Drosophila melanogaster: one gene and its partners. Changing the gene in region 2 together with the main gene of any one other region gives a genetic interaction. Each region holds a gene or a part of one and is shown on either strand. Other genes may lie near its edges. The genes, in order: klar, hkb and eg.

Evidence for each region.
Region 1: of hkb (region 2) and klar, changing one suppresses a phenotype caused by changing the other (phenotypic suppression), as found in Drosophila melanogaster (one study listed by BioGRID).
Region 3: of hkb (region 2) and eg, changing one suppresses a phenotype caused by changing the other (phenotypic suppression), as found in Drosophila melanogaster (one study listed by BioGRID).

Annotation. Positions count from the first base shown.
Region 1 is NT_037436.4:536,566-543,708, forward strand, and holds the start of klar (klarsicht), read right to left. Parts: upstream 4,050-7,143; 5' UTR 3,334-4,049; intron 1-3,333. Other genes in the region: BORCS6 (BLOC-1 related complex subunit 6), read left to right, coding at 4,476-4,863, 4,920-5,394, 5,452-5,497; Cypl (Cyclophilin-like), read right to left, coding at 5,665-6,112, 6,205-6,287.
Region 2 is NT_033777.3:4,343,297-4,349,342, forward strand, and holds hkb (huckebein), read right to left. Parts: upstream 3,351-6,046; 5' UTR 3,208-3,350; coding exon 2,553-3,207; intron 2,488-2,552; coding exon 2,249-2,487; 3' UTR 1,719-2,248; downstream 1-1,718.
Region 3 is NT_037436.4:21,806,109-21,813,077, forward strand, and holds the start of eg (eagle), read left to right. Parts: upstream 1-2,594; 5' UTR 2,595-2,696; intron 2,697-2,730; exon of another isoform or gene 2,731-3,129; intron 3,130-6,896; exon of another isoform or gene 6,897-6,969.

The DNA of each region.
Region 1 (7,143 bases), on a different chromosome or scaffold from region 2:
GAAACATGCAACAAACAGTTGCATGTTCGTGTGCGTCAAAAGAAGCTGAGGAGAAAAACACAAACTCGATGCGGAAATGCAGATAAAAAATCAAAGAGCCGGGTAAAATTGAGAGAAAAACCTTTGGAAAATTAATGAGCTGCAAACAATGCGGACATCGTTAAGGGGAAAAGATTTATTCGGGAAAACAAATAGGAGAAGGCAGAAGACGACGGAGCGAGGTCAATATTTGGACACCAAAAATACAGAAAAAAGGAAAAGTTGCGCGCCGGGAAAAGGGAAAGGGGAAATGCTCATCTCAAGTTGATCAACAAATTGAAAGACCCTGATGATTCAGATGATTCACGTCGATCAGATGCACATTCGATTATCGAAAGCAATCAAAACCAAATCAAACAGGTGCTGAATACAACATATAGTTTAGGTTTGATATTGAATTTCTCCAAAGCATGCCTTCAAAATCTATTTACGTGGCCACAAAAAACTATTTCTCAATGGGGAAAAACCAAAACAAGGCAACAGCTAAAGCAAAAAAACAAAAATTACCAGGTAAACGATTCGCTTTTCATTTTACACCTTCCACAAAACACAGCCATCAAACGGCACCTCCCCTTTGACCCTCCTCGCTTAACCCATCATTTTCCGCTGGCTGTAAACAAATCAGAAGGAGGTCAATCCATATTGGCGGAATAAGTGGAACAAACAACAATATACAATGTATAATAGAACTCCAGTTCTTTGGAGATGAAATGTTTACGGAACTTTGACAGGCGTTTGCGAAATCCCAAAGCAAAGTGAGCTCACTTAGGGAAAATCAGATGAAGATCTCGGAAAGATTTCCGCCATCATTGCGCAATTTCTTTGTGGAAAACATTGCGGAATAAATTCGAGCATACATAAGAAACTGTTAATTAAAAGGGGTTTGGGGTGGGGAATTCCAGATGAGATGATCTCATCTGTAAAAGTTGCTCAGCGAAGCAAGTGAATCAATGATCAGAAATGCTGTAATTAAACTGGCGAGCAAGAATGAAGACCAACATCGCTTACATCGGGTGGAAATTTAAAGTCTAGGGGGTGAACGAACACCAGTATAACAGTCAGTATATAACATATAACACCTTCAAAATGCAGGGGATGAATTCCGAGAAGGGTGTGCATTAATGTAAGCATCAGAAATGAGGGCGAATAATGCAAGATAAATAACAAAAGCGTGCCACAGAAGTTATATTAAAAGTGGGTGTGAATAAAATGTCAGTTACAAAATTGTAATTTTTGGTTTTAGAGTAATTCGTACCTACTATTAAGTATACTATTTGTTCAATACTGCTTTCCAAGACCTTTTTACTATTCAGAAGAAAAGAACCCCAAATGTTCATAAATTCATTTGCACTTTTGAAGTTCCCTACCCAAATTAGTTCCAAATTGAGAAGACAATGACTGTAGAGATGATCAGGCAAAAAGTTTGTATGCCGAGTTTTTTTATTTTTAGAGAACAAGAGTTGAAAGAATTTTCCTGACCTCAATTTGGCTTACAAAAAATTTTAAGAAAACAGTTAGAGGAAAGTGGAATTATACACAATTGTGTTAATCGAACTCGAACATTAGGAGATTAGATATTGACAATCATTCTTTGGGATTGATTTTTCGTTTCCTTTATGAATTCAATAATTTTCAACTTCCTTCTGGATGATTTGTATTTATTTCTTCATTACTTTCCCGCCATTTGAGAGCCGCTAAGAGTGTGGGAGAGATTTGGGCCTAAAAACTCGTTGATATTTCGCTTATTTTCGAGTCTTCGGTTAGGCAATTTGGCTCCAAAGTGACCTAAACCGACCCACTGCTAATGAGCCATTAACACGCTTATCTCGGAGGAGAAGGAAACATGGCTTAAAGACCGACCAGACCTGGCCAAAATTGGCCACGCACATGAGATGGGATTTTGACATATTGGGACTTCAGGTCTTTGGCCCAAAGAGACTCGGCACGTGAGCGTTAAAGCCAAAACACTTTGGGGTTAAGCTGGGGAAAATGAAAATGAAAGAGCAGGCGGCGCGCGAGTGGAAAATAATAGGAATTTCCTCAATTAGATTTCCTAGTCGCTGACCCCAAACCGGGCACGATGTACTGGAAAGTCGAAGGAAAAGCGGGGGAAAGACGAATGCAAATCGCATTAGGACGCGCGTTTAATCTGCTCCAAGGCATCGCCTTAACCCCGCCCCGAGGAAAATGGGGAAACCCACGAGAGGGGAGGGTGGGAAATCTAGGAAGAGGGCACCAGTAAAATGTTGCAGTAAACGATTTTCCATTTCCCGCTGGGTCAGCGGGTCATCGAGTGGGCGAGCGGGAAAACGCGAGATGAATGCAATATGGAAATCAATAAATAAAAACAGCATTTTCATTTAAGTGCTCGACGAGGAAATGGTTGTGGGAAAAGGCCAGAGAAAACCCCGTTCAAGTGTCGCCCATGAAAATGGAAAATCTTTCTTCGATGCGATGTAAATAAACAGTAAGAGTGCGACAACATTTGTTTATAGAAATGGAATGGAATTTAAAGTGCGAAATAGGGAAATACTTAACAAAACAAGGATCCAGAAATTGAGTTCTTTTATTTTCGACCAACTTGCTTGTTTTTCCTATTGGATTTAGACGTTTAAAAATACATTTTTTTACAGAATATAAAAGTTAGAAGCTAATTATCGAGTAATTCCTTTCTCCTGATTCATCACATGCTTTTCTTGTCCACATATCAATCCACTTTTCCATATTATCGATGCCAAAATAAACGATTGATTGATTGATTGAAAAATCAACCCACGCATTTTAATAAAAACAACAACAATTCAAATGTGCAGTTACACACACATAACTAAAAGGGAAGAGAGTGGAAAGCCGAAAGAGAAGAAGAGCGAGAGAGAGCAAATATTATCGCAGTTATTACGAAATCGCAATCGAAACATAACGGTAGATATAGATAGGAAAAGCACCAATACAATAAAGCGAATATAACCGCTAGAGGAAGAGGGGAAGAAGTGGGTGGGTGAAAAAGAAAGATCGCTGTCTCTTTCTCGCTCTCATACTTGCTGACTGCACAATTTGCAGTTAAAAGAAAGAAGCAGAACGGCCTGAGAAGAAAGACAAAGCATAAGAGTAACTGGCCAAGAAGAAGAAAAGAACAAGAAGTCAAGAACAAAATAGAAGAGAGCACACACACACACACATTCGTACGTACCCGTAGAAAACAGAGAAGGCAAAAAAGTCTTTCCTTTTTTTTACACTTTTATCCATTTTCAGTTGCATTTTATAAGATTCTTTAGTACAAACAATTTAACTTACTTGCTTTTTTTAGCAGCCACGCATGCGTCGAATGGGAATTTATGCTCCTTGAGACTCCAATTGGAATTTGTACCCCGGCTGCAAACAGTTTTTTTTTCTCTCTTGCTTTATTTCCACACTGCACACATACACATATGCAGCGGCACATACACACAAGTGCACGCACTGCAGTCGATTTTGTTTTTTTTGCATAAAACTTTATTTCATGTATGCCACTTGTACATTGTTTGTCACCAATTTGCGTATTTTGTACATCAAATTTTATTTTACTTTTCGTTGCCTTCCTTATTATTTTCCTAATCTTCACATGCACTTTTTTAGCGACGCCAACACACACATTTGCACACGCACACACATGGCGAGGATGAGAGAGGAGAAAGAGAGCAAAACACCGTTTTCGTTGCTTCCTTTTCGCTTATTCCTCTTTAGCCGCTTCTTTTCGATTCTGGCTCTTTTTGGCACTTTTAGCCCCAAGTTGCTAGCAATTCACTTAGCGTACGAGCACTAACAATTAAAACGAATAAGACTCGAAAAATACGATGGAAACGCGAACATATAAACAAAAATCTACATTGGTTTTATTGCAGCGCTACGCAGGTGTGTTTTTACGCGCTCATCGCGCAATTAAATTAGAACGCTGCAGATTTACTTAGTTCACTCCAGTCTGCCCAATGCGCGCCGCACACCTCGGAGCCGCAAATTATAAACACGACTGTCTTCGATTTAACGGGCTGGCCTATCGGTCCTATCGATGACTCGATAGTGCGAGCTGGAGTGTGACCATTTCTTGGTAAAAGCAAAATCGTGAAGAGTAAGTGTGCGATACTATCGAACTGTCATATACTCAACCAAATAACATCTGAAATCTGTTTCTCACTAAAACCGAAATTTCCATCAGGGTTAGGAAAATATAGTTTACGCACATCAAGTTGCATAGGTCAATCCTACGTAAAAAAGGCTCGATATAGGTAAGGTGGACCTCAGCCTGAACAGGGCCTAATGCAAATACATTCGATAAATAGATGTTATCGATAACCATTTGGTATATACCAGTAAATGCTTTGTTTTGGTTTTCATTCAGAAAATTGACATACATTTCTTAGTCTGCCTAAAGTTCCTTGGATTGAAAAGAGCAGTGCAGAATGTCGCACCGCCACCAGGACATTCCCATCCGCCCACGTTACGGTTATGTGGCCGAGGAGAGTGGCCCATCGGAAGGGGCAGCCAGGAGTTCTGGATCCGGAGCCACGCCCGCCTCCTCCTACACGGAAATTCCGTTCCTGGCTCAGTATCCGGGAGCGGTGCCAGAGCACGTGCTCCAGGATCTGACGCCCACAGCCACTGGCCATGCTGCGATTCCCGGAAGCACAAAGACAAGACCCAACGGCGAGAAATACCTTAACCTGGATTCGGGCGAGGATCCCGACGAGGAAGACGATCCCTTGGAGGAGGAGGACAACAGCAACTCGAATAGCAACTCTAAGGGCAGTTCCGGCGACATCGAAAGGCACAGACTGAAGGCAGAGAGCAGTGGGTTCTAGGTTATCTACCCATAGTTCCTGACTAAAGCATCTTCCTTCTTTCAGCTGTGCCCTACGAGCTGGACGGCGAAACCAGTGACTCCGACGGGATGCGCCACTTTGTGGCCCACGATCTAGAGGCCAAGTTGCGCGAGCGCGTGGCGGCTTCGGCCTACTCCTCGGAGCACACCACGCCCCTGAGCTCCATGGGTCCCATTGGAGCCACTTCCGGCAACGGTCTGCTCACGCGGCGGTTCCTGCAGTCGCGCAACATTCCCGAAGTGGACGGCAGCGTCTTGAGCGACATCGAACTGGAGGCTCAGTACTTGGCCAGCTCGGTGGACAATCTGATGGAAAACCTGGGCAACCTGCTGCACTCAATCTCCTCCATAACGGCCGACAACGTGGAGGTCCATCGCAACGCGGTCAACAAGCTGACGGACACTTTGGACGCGAATATCAAGTGCCAGTACCAATTGCTGGCCAAGGCGGAGGAAATCACCAAGTCGATGAAACCCACAGAGCAGCTGGGTCAGCGCATGTAAGTGGGTCAATTCAAGACAGATCCCTTTAGTGTAATGGACTTTCTCTTCCGCAGAAGGCAGATCAAGCGGCTGGTGGACATGTTGGACAGCACCATGTAAAATAGGGCTACGCTATCCTGTGATCAACCAATCAAAGAGATCTTGTCTTTCTAGTCATTCCGTAAATACATATAATCAGTGTTATAAAATCCATATGGAAAGATACCTTTCGCTTGTTTAAATCGTACTTATTCTAGCAGTTCCTCCAAAAAATCCACCTCCTTGGCTCACAGCTTCTCCACCTTGGCCTTGATGATCCTTAGGGGATCCACGGGGCGATCGTTCTTGTCGGTTTCCACCATGCCGATCCGCTTGACCACCTCCATGCCCGTGTAGACCCTGCCGAAGATCGTGTGCTTGCCATCCAGCCACTGCGTGGGCGCCAGCGTGATGAAGAACTGGGACCCGTTGGTGTCCGGTCCAGAGTTGGCCATCGAGAGGATGCCCGCGCCCGTGTGCCTCAAGTCGCCGTGCAGCTCGTCCGCGAACTCCGATCCGTAGATGGAGGCGCCTCCGCGGCCAGTGCCCGTGGGATCGCCGCCCTGGATCATGAAGTCCCTGATGATCCGGTGGAACACCACGTTGTTGTAGTAGCCCCTTCTCGAGAGTTCGGCAAAGTTGCGGCAGGTGTTGGGCGCGTGTTTCCAGTACAGCTCCACGGTGATTTCTCCCATGCTGCGCGGGGCACAAATGCCACAAATAATGTGATAAACAAATGCTCAGTCTTCAGTTTCGGCGATTATCGAGCATTCAAGCTCCGGACTCACCTCGTTTCCAGGGTCACGAAGTGCGGCTGCCACGCCTTGTCGGGAATGCCACCAGCATTGTTGGGATCGCTTAGGGACAGCATAACTATATTTGTTGTTAAATTAGCGAGACTTCAGTAAAATTGTTAAAACCGGCAGAGTCAGAGTGACCAGCTTAAGCGTAGTCACTTAGGCCGCCTGGCAACCCTGAACTGCTGCGGTATACTTCTGGTATATATATAGTATAGTATATAGACGCACCTTGGTATTTTTTAGGGTTTTTGTGAGCACACGCAAGGGTATTTTTCAATTAGTTCCATTTCAAAATTCGACGAAAAAATCGTGGAAAATATTTAGCGGACGGAATTTTTCGTCGGGCTCGCGAGAAAAGAGACAGATAATAAGAGTGAGTGCGTGAGCGTGAGTGAGACAACGCGAAAAGTTAGAGAGGATCGGAATCATGGCGAGTGTTTTTTTATAATCAAATTTCCACAGCACTTTCCACGTATAGTTGTTAATGAAGCAAAAAGTAAGCGAAATATGAAAAGAAAAGCCTTTTCCCTTAGCTGCAAGTGTGTGTGTGTGTGTGGTAGCGTGTTTTTTTTTGTTGCTGTGTTGTGTTTGCTGAGCGCAAAGAAGAGGAAGCAGAGCTAAGAGAGAAGAGAAACTCTCGAAAATGAATTGAAAACGATGAACTCAAAGTAGCCCACTAGTATGGTGCTCGTGTGCGTGTGTGTGCTGTTGTGTGTGGGAGAGAGAGGGAGCGAACACAAAGAGCGTATCAACATTCAATTGCATTTTTAACTTGTTTTCGCTCTGGAATTTTTGATTTTCTCGCGTTTTTCGATTGCTTTTTGTTAGCAACAATTAATTTACAGGGTTCGTATTTTTCTCTTTCTCTCCTGGGGGGCGGTTTCCACAAGGGAAAACTCGATGTTTCCATTGTTTTTCTCGAATGCG
Region 2 (6,046 bases):
ATCAACCTTCTTGCTTTTATAGTTCTTGAAATCTCAACGTTCATACGGACTGACAGACAGACGTGGCCAGTTTAACTCGGCTATTCATCCTGATCAACAGTATATATACATATATACTTTATATGGCCCAAAACGCTTCCTTCTGCATGTTACGTACTACTTACAACGAATCTAGTATACCCTTTAACTCTACGAGTAACGGGTAAAATGACATATTCATTCACCATATGGAAAACTTAAACCTAGTAACGGTATGGTATATAAAACATGAAAATGTATCTTCATTGTTTTTTTCTTAACGTATCATTTCTACACGGGTGTTTCAGCTTTCTTTTTGTAAAGTTTTATTTTTGACCACTATTTCAGTTCTGCGTTTTTATCAATTTTAAAATGTGAAATTGCGATTTGGTTATTATCAGCGTTGTGCTCACTAGAAATACGGGTATGTTTGTTACATATAAATAAAACACCATATCGAAATGGCCTACTTCTTGATATATGATATGATATGACTAAAGTCCACATACATTATTGTATTCATTAATAAAAAAACTCAAAAATAGTATCATGATTCCATAAACCTTCTACTTCTTTCGGGCTCAGTGATTTCGACGTTTGTATTGACGGATAAACATGCCTAGAGAGGATCGGCAAGTGAATCTGGTCAAGAACATGTATGCGTTTTAGGTTAGGAATCCCATGGTTGCCGAATGCCCTCGTCGATCAATCCAAACTGCCCGCTTGTTAATTGCCAACTATCACGCATCTTGAAAAATGATTGTTTGAACTTGTTGCAGAGAGTGGTCTCAAGAAGTTTTAGGTGCACTGTGTATCTGGAGCAAATAGTCGCAATTGTAAAGGATCGAATGGAGACGGCATAGATCATTGTGTCACTTGTGCGATGTGAACGACGTCGCACTGTCTGGCCGATATGAAAATATTCTCAGGCCCGAGAAAAACAATAAGCAGGTAGGGGACACGTAATGTAAGGACTGCACGCCCCTATCAAGCGGACAAATTTTCGATTGTCCGGGAAGCTGGGTGTCCACCTAGATCCGCTTTCATAAACTGCACCTATTGTCCGCTTTTAGAAGTGCCATTGATAGTGACCAGGAATCGATTGCTGTTCGAACAACGAATTCCAAACAAAAACACATAGGTAATTTTTCGACTTGTCGCAGACACTGTGTCTAGGTCTCTTTGCTCAGGTGAACCACTTTATTGTCCTAATGAATGACGCAAGCTGTCAGCTGAGTAATGGCGAATTTACGTGGGCACATCTGGACCGAAAGAGGACTGTGGGAAAGATTGCCAGCGACACGAATGCACTTTTCCCTTAGTTTTGGCGCTGCTCATTATCGCGGCTTGGTCGGTTTCAGCTTGTCTGGGGTGCTGTTTCATTTTGGGTAATTTGTGAATGAAATTTGGATAGATTCGGACCAAATGACTTGTGCCTTTTAATCCTTTTATGACAGTTCAAATGCGATTTTCCGATTTGCCTTTGATATTGGCGGCATGACGAGCGGTTTGTCGCACGATCTGGTTAACGGGAAGTGACAGTGGATCATTAACATGTAAAGGTAATGGTTCTTGGTTTTTAGCTCCTCGTATACTCGTAATGGAACTATGCATTTAATCATTGGGGAACAAAATTGCAAGTTCTATGTACATTTCTCCTCATTTCTAACACCGCCCAGGTAATAAAGGTCTTTCTTGTACGGTTTTTCTTGTGTATTTTGTGTTGTAAACATAAATCGTATAATTCAACTCTCAGATATAACCATGATCGTATAATTTTGTGTATAAATCGTATGTATCTGGTAACCACGATCAGCTTATAAAACTGTTAAAGTATCAGCTTTAGTATAACTTAGACGTAAATCCGGGCATCTCTTAAATTTCTTAATCGCTTAGCATATGAGGAAGGATCACTTAGGGATTATTTACACATGTGCCGAATATCATAACCAGTCACGTAGCTGGAAGTGTAAATACGCGTTAAAAAATAAATATCTCAATATTTGCATATATCGTCGAGGTCCAAAGATTGGGTTTGGTGAGTGCGCCACATTGCGCCAGGTACGGCTGAGGTAGTTCTGTCCACGATTGGCTAGGCAGTTTTTGCTGGCGTTAAGTTTCGTTTCGTTGGATTCGGTTCGGTAATGCTTGTTTAAAGCGTGCAAGCGCTTTACAGATCGCTGGAATGCAGGGTCGCGTGGCAAGGGGAAAGCTCGCCAGGATTTCCCTCTCAGTAGCCATAAAGGTATGAGTACATGGGCACGAAGATGGACGGGCCCAGCTGGCGCTCCTGCGGCATGTGCGTCTTCATGTGCTTCTTTAAGTGGTCGCGTCGGCCAAACTTCTTTCCGCAGGCACTGCAAGGATACGGCCGCAGTCCGGTGTGGATTCGCTTGTGACGCGTCAGTTCCTCATTGCGGGTGAAGGTCTTGCCGCATGTGTTCACGTCGCACTTAAATGGGCGTTCGCCTGCAGAACAGAATGGAGATAAGTGAGTGGGACTCTCGGGGTCAGATGTGTTCTGGTCGACTTACCGGTGTGGATGCGGATGTGGCCCTTCAGCTGGCCGTTGTTGGAGAAGGCCACGTCGCAGTTGGGGCACTTGAACTTCTTCGGCCGCTGCTTGCGGCTGTTGAGCGCCTTTAACTGTGCGTCCTCGGCCATCACGCGGGCGTACTCTTGCTCCATCAGGCCCATAGTGAACGGGTCCATGCCGAAGCCCGGGACGGCAGTGGGCGTGGAGGCAGCAGCGGCTGCTGCGGCGGCGGCAGCGTAGTAGAGATCGCTGGCGGCCGACAGGAATGGAGCGTGCTGGTTTGGCGGAGCCAAGGATGCGGTGGCGGCGGCGTGCGTGTCCAACGGCGACGACTGCGGGTGTGAAAAGACGGGGTGCGGGGCGGCGTCCAGCAGCGGGGTGGAAGTGCGGGTGTAGCTGCTGTGGTTCAGGGCCTCCTCGTAGCAGGACTTGCTGCTGTTGCTGCTGCTTGACGCAGAGGAGGATGCGGAGGAGAAGTCTCCGTCGCAGTCGTGGCCGAAACTGCTGCTGGCCAGCTCCGTCTTGATGGTAATCGCCTCCGGCTCCTGCTTCACTGTCCTGGGTGCCGCCGAGGTCGCCGCCTGGCGCTGAGTATCCCAGGGTCGGAAAAGTCGCGAGTAGGTTTGCGGGGGATGCAGGTTAATCGTCGACATTTTGCAGTAGTTTTAATGGAAGGTCTAAATTGCTCTCTCGCGACACTAAATCACTTGGATGGAACACTTGTGATTATGATTTTGGACTTGATTTGGTTGTGCGGAGCTGTGTGTGTGCTGCGAGATCTCGACTCGAACTGAGCTCTCCTGCCCCGACGCCTCTCAATTTAAACCCAGGACTCTGGCTACCTACACTTCGTATACCCAGGCAGTCATTCGTCCTGCGTTCACACACACGCGCACACACATACACACTCACCCGCACACGCACACGCACACTGAGGGTCGCTTCATTCATCGATTATTTGTCTGTCTGAGGATGTGCGAGCGAGAGGGATGCTTCGGGGTGGGTTTCGCTTTCAGAAACGGGCACGGATTCGGTTCGGTTCGGTTTCGAGGGCACAACAATGGCGGCCCGCTCGCACACACACTCGCAGCTGAAGTATATAAGGCGCTGGTGTGTGCGTGTAGTCCTGCGTAGTTTTCCCGGTCCGGAAAATCGAACTCCCGACCGAGTGGCGGGCAGCTTTCCTAACTTGCGCTTTCTACTCTTTCCACTCCGTACTACATATACTGGGCCCAGGCGATCCCAGCAGCGCGGTGCCTCCGATTTGGGCGCAACTTTAGCAGAGCATTTGCGTTTCACGGTTATGTTATGAATTGTACTCACACCCACCCACCGACCATGATTCCCGGGTGGTTGGCTTTGGGCTTGGCTTGGCCCACTCTCCCAATCCCAATCCCACTCCCAATCTTATACCCATTCCCAGTCACAGTTTCCTCCTCCTTCCCTCCGTCCAGACACAGATACTTCTCCAAATGTATAATTCGGTTATCTGCGGTTCGGGTTTCCTGTGCCCGATGTGGCAGCAATTTATTATTAAATTAAGTGCTTGTTCGAGGGTGGCTCCGCGACATCACGAATATGCAAAGTGCGGGCCAAGCAGCTGGGCAGGATTTGCAGAGATTGCCAGGCTTGAGCGTGTTGTTCAGTTGGTACAGTTCGCCTAAACTTTATCTTTATCTCTGGGGGTGCTTGAGAAAAACTTTACTGGCTCGTGGAGGCGTTTGCCCTAACGCGATTCTGGCTGCAGACTACGAGAACAGATACAACATACTTTGGCTGAATGTGCGTTGCTACACCTAATGTTTTAATTTAGAAGGCGATATTGGCTTTAAGAGTTCGTGTTTAAGTTCACAAGTTTTTCGCATGCATTGGTAGCCGCTACAAATTGCTGTTGCGTTTACTTTCCACTCCAATTTTCTGTATGAATTTGAGTTTAAAGGGAAAATGGTACTTAATATTAATACATACCCTCTAAGGATTCCCACGATAGGATTAGTAGTGTTCTGAGTTCAATCTTATTTTCTAGTCAACAAGCATTGGAAGTAAGCCTTCTCTAAATTATGAATATATGCCTCCTATTTTTGCAGCCAAATGTATTATATACCTCTATATTCTTCGACAGATACCTGAAATAATTTCGAAATCAAATTCTAATTCTAATCAAGAGACGACGGATACAGCATATAATCATAAAAATGTTTGCTGCTAGAATTAAAAGAAAGATTTGCGGAATTGAACGAAATATTTTCGTTTTGTTGTTTTTTAAAAGAGTATAAAACTGCTGTCATCGGACCAAAGCGATAATAACTTCCTAAAAGATATCTGCTTTCTAGGGAAGGTGCATTCCGCAGGCCTAGCGCCTTATGCCCCTGTCCTGCCATTTAGAACAAAAGGGAAATCATTGGGATTACGTCCAACTGCATTGTTCGACCAATGCTAATGAGTGCAGCGGCATGGCTGGGTTGTTGTGGGTTTGTTAGTACCTATGTATATGTAGAACCGTCCATAAAACGCGGTCCGCGGAGAACATTTCATTCACGACTGAGCTCATTTAGTAAATTCATTCATAAACTGGGATTGCCGTGAGCAGGGACGATCCTGTGATCTGGATAGATCCCTTGGTGGTCGGGTGGCAGGTAGATAGCCGATTGGGCTGGCTTGAGGGTGGTGATACTGTAAAATTCACTAGCTTATTTGCGTAGGTTTGGACTTGGGCTTGCAGCAGCCTGGGATTTTCCGCAGTAGATTCTTAAAGTAATGAGCGCCGGTATTTCCACGCAATCGTCTCACAGCCCGACGGGTCGTAAACTGCAACCTACCTAGGACAATGCGGCACTCATAACCGGTATGAAAGGAAGTTATAAAATAATTAGATATGGTAACCACTCGGCCAGCGAACGTGAATTCATTCATGGAATGGCAGGATTGCCTGTAACGATTAGCTGCACTGTCCAATACCTGACGGGATATACACCCGAGATAAGAACACGACGTAATATTCATATTTGGATTAATTAGGAAATTTCACATGCGCTCGAGCTGGGACACGCCACATATGAGGAAAGTACGTGAATTGTTGATATAGGATGGACGTAGACCCAGACGGCGACATGATCAGGGGAAACTTCCAGCGTAACTAAACTTCAGTCGGCAAATTACTTTGCCACAAGACACATAAGCAAGATTACGTTTCAAAGAAGTGGAATCGCAAGATTTAGCAAGCTAGACCTGATCCCCGCTAATAGTACCTATCATTCCAAGTGTGTAAACTTAATAGAGTCTTCACGAGCACATAGATTACGACTGGACTAGGGGTAGGGGGTTTCAATAAGCCCCCAGCTCACTATTTGGTGATCCTGGACGAAGATTGAAAGTTCGAACAATTTCGAAATGGTTTTCCTGATTGAATTTTCTGAATTATGTTTATGCGGAAAAGGGCTATTAGCTTTTTCAAAAAAGCATGTCCAATGCATGTTTTACAAGGAAACCAAA
Region 3 (6,969 bases), on a different chromosome or scaffold from region 2:
TTGGCCCGGCTTGGCCTGCGTCCGTTCAATCGAAATTGTGATTTAAAGTATCTGTATCTGGATCGATTTGGCATCGATCGCATGTCGCCAAATGTCTTCAATCCTCTGGCATTCCGGCCTCAAGTCAGCTTTGGAAGATTTGTCGCCTATTTTGTGTGTGCCTCGCAGCGATTTCTTTCGCAGATTCGTCTGGTTTTTTGGCCATGGCCAATTTGTATTTGGCCATGCCAGCGCACAAAACAGACCTGTTCAAGTGTTTGCCAATCTCCGATTGGCTTGACTGAAGTTTTCACTGAAAATTTGTAGTGGGAAAAAGTCACTTTACTGAGTTGATCCTTAAGCTTTATTTAAATAGAAAACTTTAAAATGTAAGTAATAAATTTAAATTAAATTTGTGTAAAGCTTAACTAACAACAATATGAACTTGCCAAAAACAAAAAAACAATTACTTGTTGAAGATTTGGTGCATCATTGGCATTTACAATTTCCTAGCGATTTAGTTAATTTTAAAAGTGATTTAAAAAGTATATCTTCCAAATCTCTTATTGATAGAATTAAAATTCGGGAAATTCTATATCCTGAGTACAATTTGTTTAAGTCCGTCTTGAAAGTAAGCCAACCAACTCTGTTCATAATTAGATTAAAGTTTCTTGCTCTCCGCTCCGTATCGCTTCAAGTGGCCACAATTTGAGGCAGATTGCGCTCTAATAAATATGGGCAGCCATCTAAGCTAATGCCCCAACTCATCACCGAGTTGAGAGATGAGCACGCAAGCAGGCGAGATACGCATGCGCCCGTTGCCAAGGCCCAAACTTAATTAAAAATTTGGAGAGAGCGGAGGGAAAATTTCAGATTGCCCACGAGCTGAAGAAATTTTAATATGACGACCAAATTGCACCGCAGCAGCTCCAGGAGCTGCATCGCCACTTGGCAGATTATGACGACAACTATACTGACAGGCAGAGCCAGAGGAAACTACTCCAAGAAACTAGCCAGATTCAGTTGCAGTCGCAATCGGAGTCTCCGTTCCAGTTCATGGCTAAATGCTTTTGGCTGTGATAAATTACACGTCGTTTTAGAGTGTTGCGCTTCCTTGTTACTCCGTCAAGTGGTGTTGACACGGCCGCGGCGAATGCAGAGTATTAAACGATCTCCGCCGTGGCACTCTTCTTCCGTCCAGTGGTGTTATTAAAATGAAATCATCATCATCACCAAGTGACAGAAGCCGGGAGTCTGAGCCTGAGCCTGAGCCTGAGTCTAAGTCTGAGCTGAGATGAGTTGAGATGGAGGGACAGACAACGACTGGTCAAATGCCCGGGGATCACTTTAGTGGGCATCTCGGCGCACGAAGGCAGTCATCTGATCATGCTTATGACAGGAGAATTCAATTAGACATATGGAAACGCGTTGATTGTTCCACTGGCAATTTTGCGCCTGGTGGCAATCCGATTTAAGCAGCACAGAACTAGCATTGATTATTTTGCAATTGTTGTTGAAGTACCGTATCGAATGTATTTAAATGGATACCATTTAGCCCTAATAAAATTGATTCCTTGTTAAACAATCTCATGCAACTTTTATTTTATTTACGCTCACAAGAATATAGCTTTATATATACCATTAGTGGCAGAATTTTGTATTCAACCTAAAAGAATTCTGCAGTGCCCCCAGATAGAATAAACCAACATCTATGCATATGTTTTCCATGTGGTCATCTCCAATCGTTATCAATCCGACAAAGATTCACATAAAAATATTTAAATATACGAAAGACTAGGGAGGCGAACTTGTTTTCTCCATTTTGCAGGTCAAGCCACAAATAACCTCTGATGTTTTCTTGGTTTCTCCCAATGTTTGTTTACACTGATCGCCGGGCATTAAGTGCCCACCTCCTTGCCACATTAGTCGTCCAATACGAGTTCAATTGGATGCACATGCACAACGAAGCAAACCAGGGCCAACACTCTCGCGGCCAATACACTCAAATGATAACAGTACCGTGTGTAGAGTCAAACGGGGGTAAAAAGACATCAGCCAACAGCCAACCGCATCGACACAGTATTCAATGGAAACGAACGAAACGCTTGGAGATCGTGCCGGTGCCAACAGCCAACCACAGTTCAGCTCTCAGAAGATGCGACGCTTTAACATTTACGGAGAGCGGAGAGTCGCGAACCGAGCTGGAAACGTACAGCAAACATGTTCGAAGCGAGGTCGGTAGCAGGGTGCACTTGGAGAAAAATGTTAGCACTCTTAATATACATAAATGCGTTTTGACTTATTTCAGTTAGCGTTGTAGAAACAAAAAACTGCATTTTTTCAGGGTACTAACTTGTCAATAATATCTTTAATATATTATTTAATAATATATATTTAATATAATTGTTTTAAAATTCTCCCGAAAATAACAAATCTTGTTTCGTTAACAGTTCAGTCAACAGATCTTACCGCCATAACATTGCTGTTAAACCGGCAGAACGGAGCACGCGCACCATTCGCCACAGCAGCTGTTTGCCAAACAGGATTTCCTGCAGCGACGGCCGCCGATTAACAGTTAAGTTTCGCCGTGCCCTGCCACTGTTGCAAACGCACGCACACAATCTAGCGACGCGTGCGCTTTGTTGTCTTGTTGCCGCTGCTGTTGCTGTTAGTGCTGCTGTTCGTGCTGCCGCGCTGCAGATGCTGCTGCTGCTGGGGTAAGATGATCTTTGAGGCCAGGGCCGCGCTGCCAGTTCGAGTCTGTTTGGCGCTCAGAACGACGGCGACGATTTAGTCTCGGATGGACGCTACGCTGCCAAGCACCGTCAGTCAGGCTTTCGCTGTTCTCTCGCTCTCGCAATCGCATTATATCCGACCGATCGCGAAGTTTTTCGGCACTATGTGCGCCACGTGATTGCTGAAATCTCCTTCGAAAGCCGTCGCTATATCATCAGCGATAATTCGGATTTAAGGTGTCATGTGAAGAGTGTGTTTGATATAATCAGTTGATTTTCATTCAAACGTATCCCAGTGTGTGAAGTTAAAAAAAAAACTGGAAAAATTAACATCTAAAGAGGAAAAAATAAATAAATAGTGAGTTGGTAAAAACATCGAATTTATGCTGTTGTGGAAATATATGATCTGGAAAAGGTAAGATTTTGTTGTATATGAGCTTATGCTATTAAAAAATGGCTAAGTCTCCCTGCTGACAAACAAAACATATTAAGAGAATAAATAAAACATTTATTCATTGAATTAATGAGACAACAACAAGTTGAGATGCTGGACACATAATTCAAACGCTAAAACAATAGATAAATACAAGCAATATATATATTAAAGGCTTAATTGAATAAAAACCATTTTGCATAATTTCCATAAATTTGTCGGATGGTTGTTGTAAGTCAAAATAAATCGCAAATAAAAGATTAATACCGAAAACAATTGCATTATAAAAACCAAACCAATTAAAGACTGAAATTATACAATTTAATAATATTTTTAGCAATAATTGAAATACTTAGTACAAACTATTAAAATCAAAACAAAAAACCAACAATAAAAAGACAAATCTGTTGCGAAGAAATGGCCCAACTATCCCCAGCTATCAAGGACCAAGCTTAACTCCCATGAGTTCGTACTCACACCACTAAGGAGGACCAAGGAGAACCAGAAAAAGTGTAATGGTGAAGACAAAAGAAGCTCATTGACATGCTCATTAATAATGTTATTGCCTTTTGTGCGATAAGTGTCAAGAAATTTCTACAATAGGGGCTGCGAATGGACAAAGATGGGAGATATTCAAACATTTAATTGTCCAACTGCTGTCGGCAATCAAGCAGAAAAGGGCCAGGGGCAGCCTGAAGCGACTGGATCGTGGATCCTCGATCGCGAAGGAAGAAGGATCAAGGATGGAGGATGGAGGATGGAGGATGGAGGATGGAGGATGGAGGATGGAGGATGGAGGATGGAGGATCGCAGATCAAGAATTGCGGAAGCAGACAATTCAAACTAGAGCGTGTGACTGCTGAGTGGATTTGCATACTGCGAATGTCCGTCTCCAGTGGTTGGCAGGGCTAATAATAAAGCATATTACCGGCAATTGTGCGCGAGATGGAAGGCGATTCGGGTGTAGGAAGGGTTTGGGCTTGGGTTTGGGTTTGGGTTAGGGCTTGGACTTGGATTTGGATTGCAGATTGTGTCAATGCTCCGGGGTTCGGTTCAGTGGGCTGTGTTCTTGATTCTTGTTCTATTTTGTAGCGGCTTCAAAATATTTGAGACAATCGTGGTTTGCTTGTTTGAACACCTTTTCTCCCTCTGTTGCCTTTATCAGATTTGGCATTGTCCATCATTTTGTTTGCTTTAAAGGACACATTTTTTTGGGACCTTGTTTATTATTCCTATTGAGAGAAGTCCAACGTTCTGCCCACTTTTTTTCAGCTCTGTCAACAGCGAGTTGATGAGCTTGTTGAGAATGTGGCAGCGACCAACTGATCTGGTTCTTATTGTCTAAGCCGCTCTGAACTTGTCCCCATCGAGTTCATCTGCAGATCTCCATAGATTAGATCCGAACAATCTCCTCCACTTGGCTTGCGATCAATATACAGTTGTAGTTTCTGTAGCAGTTTAGGTTTCTAATTAATTGTCTGTTTCTGCCCAATGTGTAACATTAATCTTGGCTTAATCGATAAGTCTGACAGCCAAGATCGTTCCTATATCTGGTCTGATCTGTTCGGTTCGATATACACTCAGAAATGAACAATGGGGATTCTGTTTTTAAATTTGAAAGGAACCTGCAGAGTCAAATATTTCGAATTGGCACAACCAAAGACACTAGAATGTCTTTGGCACAACTCTCGTCTACTCATTGTTTTCCCACAAATCGAACTGGCCATCGGACCTAAGCATTGCATTCACCTTAAATTTGGGCTCGGCTTGAGGACTTGTAATTAGCTCGAAGCATGGGAATTATGTACTCCTCCATGACATCTACTACTTCTATGCGCTGACTTAAAGGGGTCCTAAAGATGCCCCAAGAACAAGACTCTCAAATATGCGCCCGGTTACGTGGATCAGTGGCCTTGGTCGTTGTCGTCGTGATAAAGCCAAAAAGATTGAGATGCCGCCTGCGGATAGGGATCTGCAAGTTTATAGCTCGAGCGTGCCGCTCAATTGGATTTCAATCGGGTTTCTCAATAAGGATCGAAATGATTTTTGACTTTTTGGTTCTTTATCTACGAAGTTCAGGTACGGCGAGATGTATTGCAATTTACAGCACTTCTATGCATATTAAGTGCATAAATATTTAGTTTTATGAGTGCTTATTTATGAAAGCAGTGCAGCAGTAATATAGGTTGTTCCCAATGTCGAAGGTAAATGCACCTATTTGATGTAATTATACTCATTTTTCGGCTAACACGATGCTTATGAATCCATTTCCCCAAAACTCCTCCATTCAGAGATCTTCTTTCTAGCTGAGTGCAATCTGGCTTACCACTCCAGCTCCACCACGAACTGCGGTTCTGAGTCTTTGGGACCCAGAGATGGAAGATCTCCTCGATGATTTTCCTGCTTTCTGAAAAAGTGCACCGCTGTGCCGAAAATTGTCACGGTTTCGCGGTCGATGGCTCGCTTGCTGTGAAGGTGCAAATTTAATGTTTGCCAATTTAGCAGCGCTCTGCTGTCACCTTTGGTGTCCATTAGCGAGCGTTTATATGCAAAGTGCCGAGCATTGGCAGGCCAGCTCCGGATCTGGCAGCCGGCGGGCTTTGGACGGGGCCAACCATTATCACAGAAGCAGCATCACGTTGTGGCCACACCACCTGCTGGGCGCATTTCGCGGAGCAGCTCCCTGCCACTTGCATCCCTGGTCCGGAAAATATCCAGACTGGGAAAACTCTGGGGAGCACTTAAGCTTGCTAGCTGGCTGTCATTGGAGGGAGTCAGGGCGTTCTGTGGCAGTTCTGGTTCTCAAAAGGGCCAACGAGAATTACGAAGATCCTGATGGTTACAGAGCCGCACGTAAATACTTGATTTTTATTTATGATAACAATACTTAAAATAATAAAAATATTAATTATTCTTATTATAATATTAATAAAAATAATGATAATAATAATAATATTAATAATAACAATAATAATTATAATAATAATAATAATAATAATAAGAACAATAATAATAATAATAATAATATTTATAATATTAATATTATATTATATAATATATAATATATAATATTATATTAATAATAATATTAATGATAATAATAATAATAATAATAATAATAATAATAATAATTATAATAATAACAATAATAATAATAATAATAATAATAATAATAATAATAATAATAATAATAATAATAATAATAATAATAATAATAATAATAATAATAATAATAATAATAATAATAACAGTAACAATACTAAAAAGAATAATCAGATTTAATCAAAAATGTATCCGTTTTACTTTTTTTTTTTAAATAAATGTTTCTCTCTTTAAAAAGGTTCTGTATAAATGTAATTAATTATTTAAAATTTCCCTTCTGACGACTAACAAGTAAAAGTTAAATTTCATTATCCTACCATTTGTTTTTGAATTGCTTGATCACATAGTTCATATAATTTTATTATCCTTGTATTGGACTTCACGATTTATTTATTATATATATTATCTCTTAAACAGTTTATATGTTTCTGTTTCTTCATCATAAAATAATATACTATACTATATTATAATATAATAAACTATACAAGTTATGGACGAAGAAGTCTGGCCATTTGTGGCCCGTATTTCCCCAAAAGTGGCAGCTAAGGCCTCCATGGAATACATTATTAGCGCACAAATGTGTTTAAGAATTTATATTGTATATCCATGACAAAATTGATCCCTCCCTCGGATTCTTCATGCTCTTTAAGTAGTTGACGCAAGATTTTCGCAGATATTTTATTTGCGCTTCGCCGTATCTTTTCTCGCTTGACCTTAGGC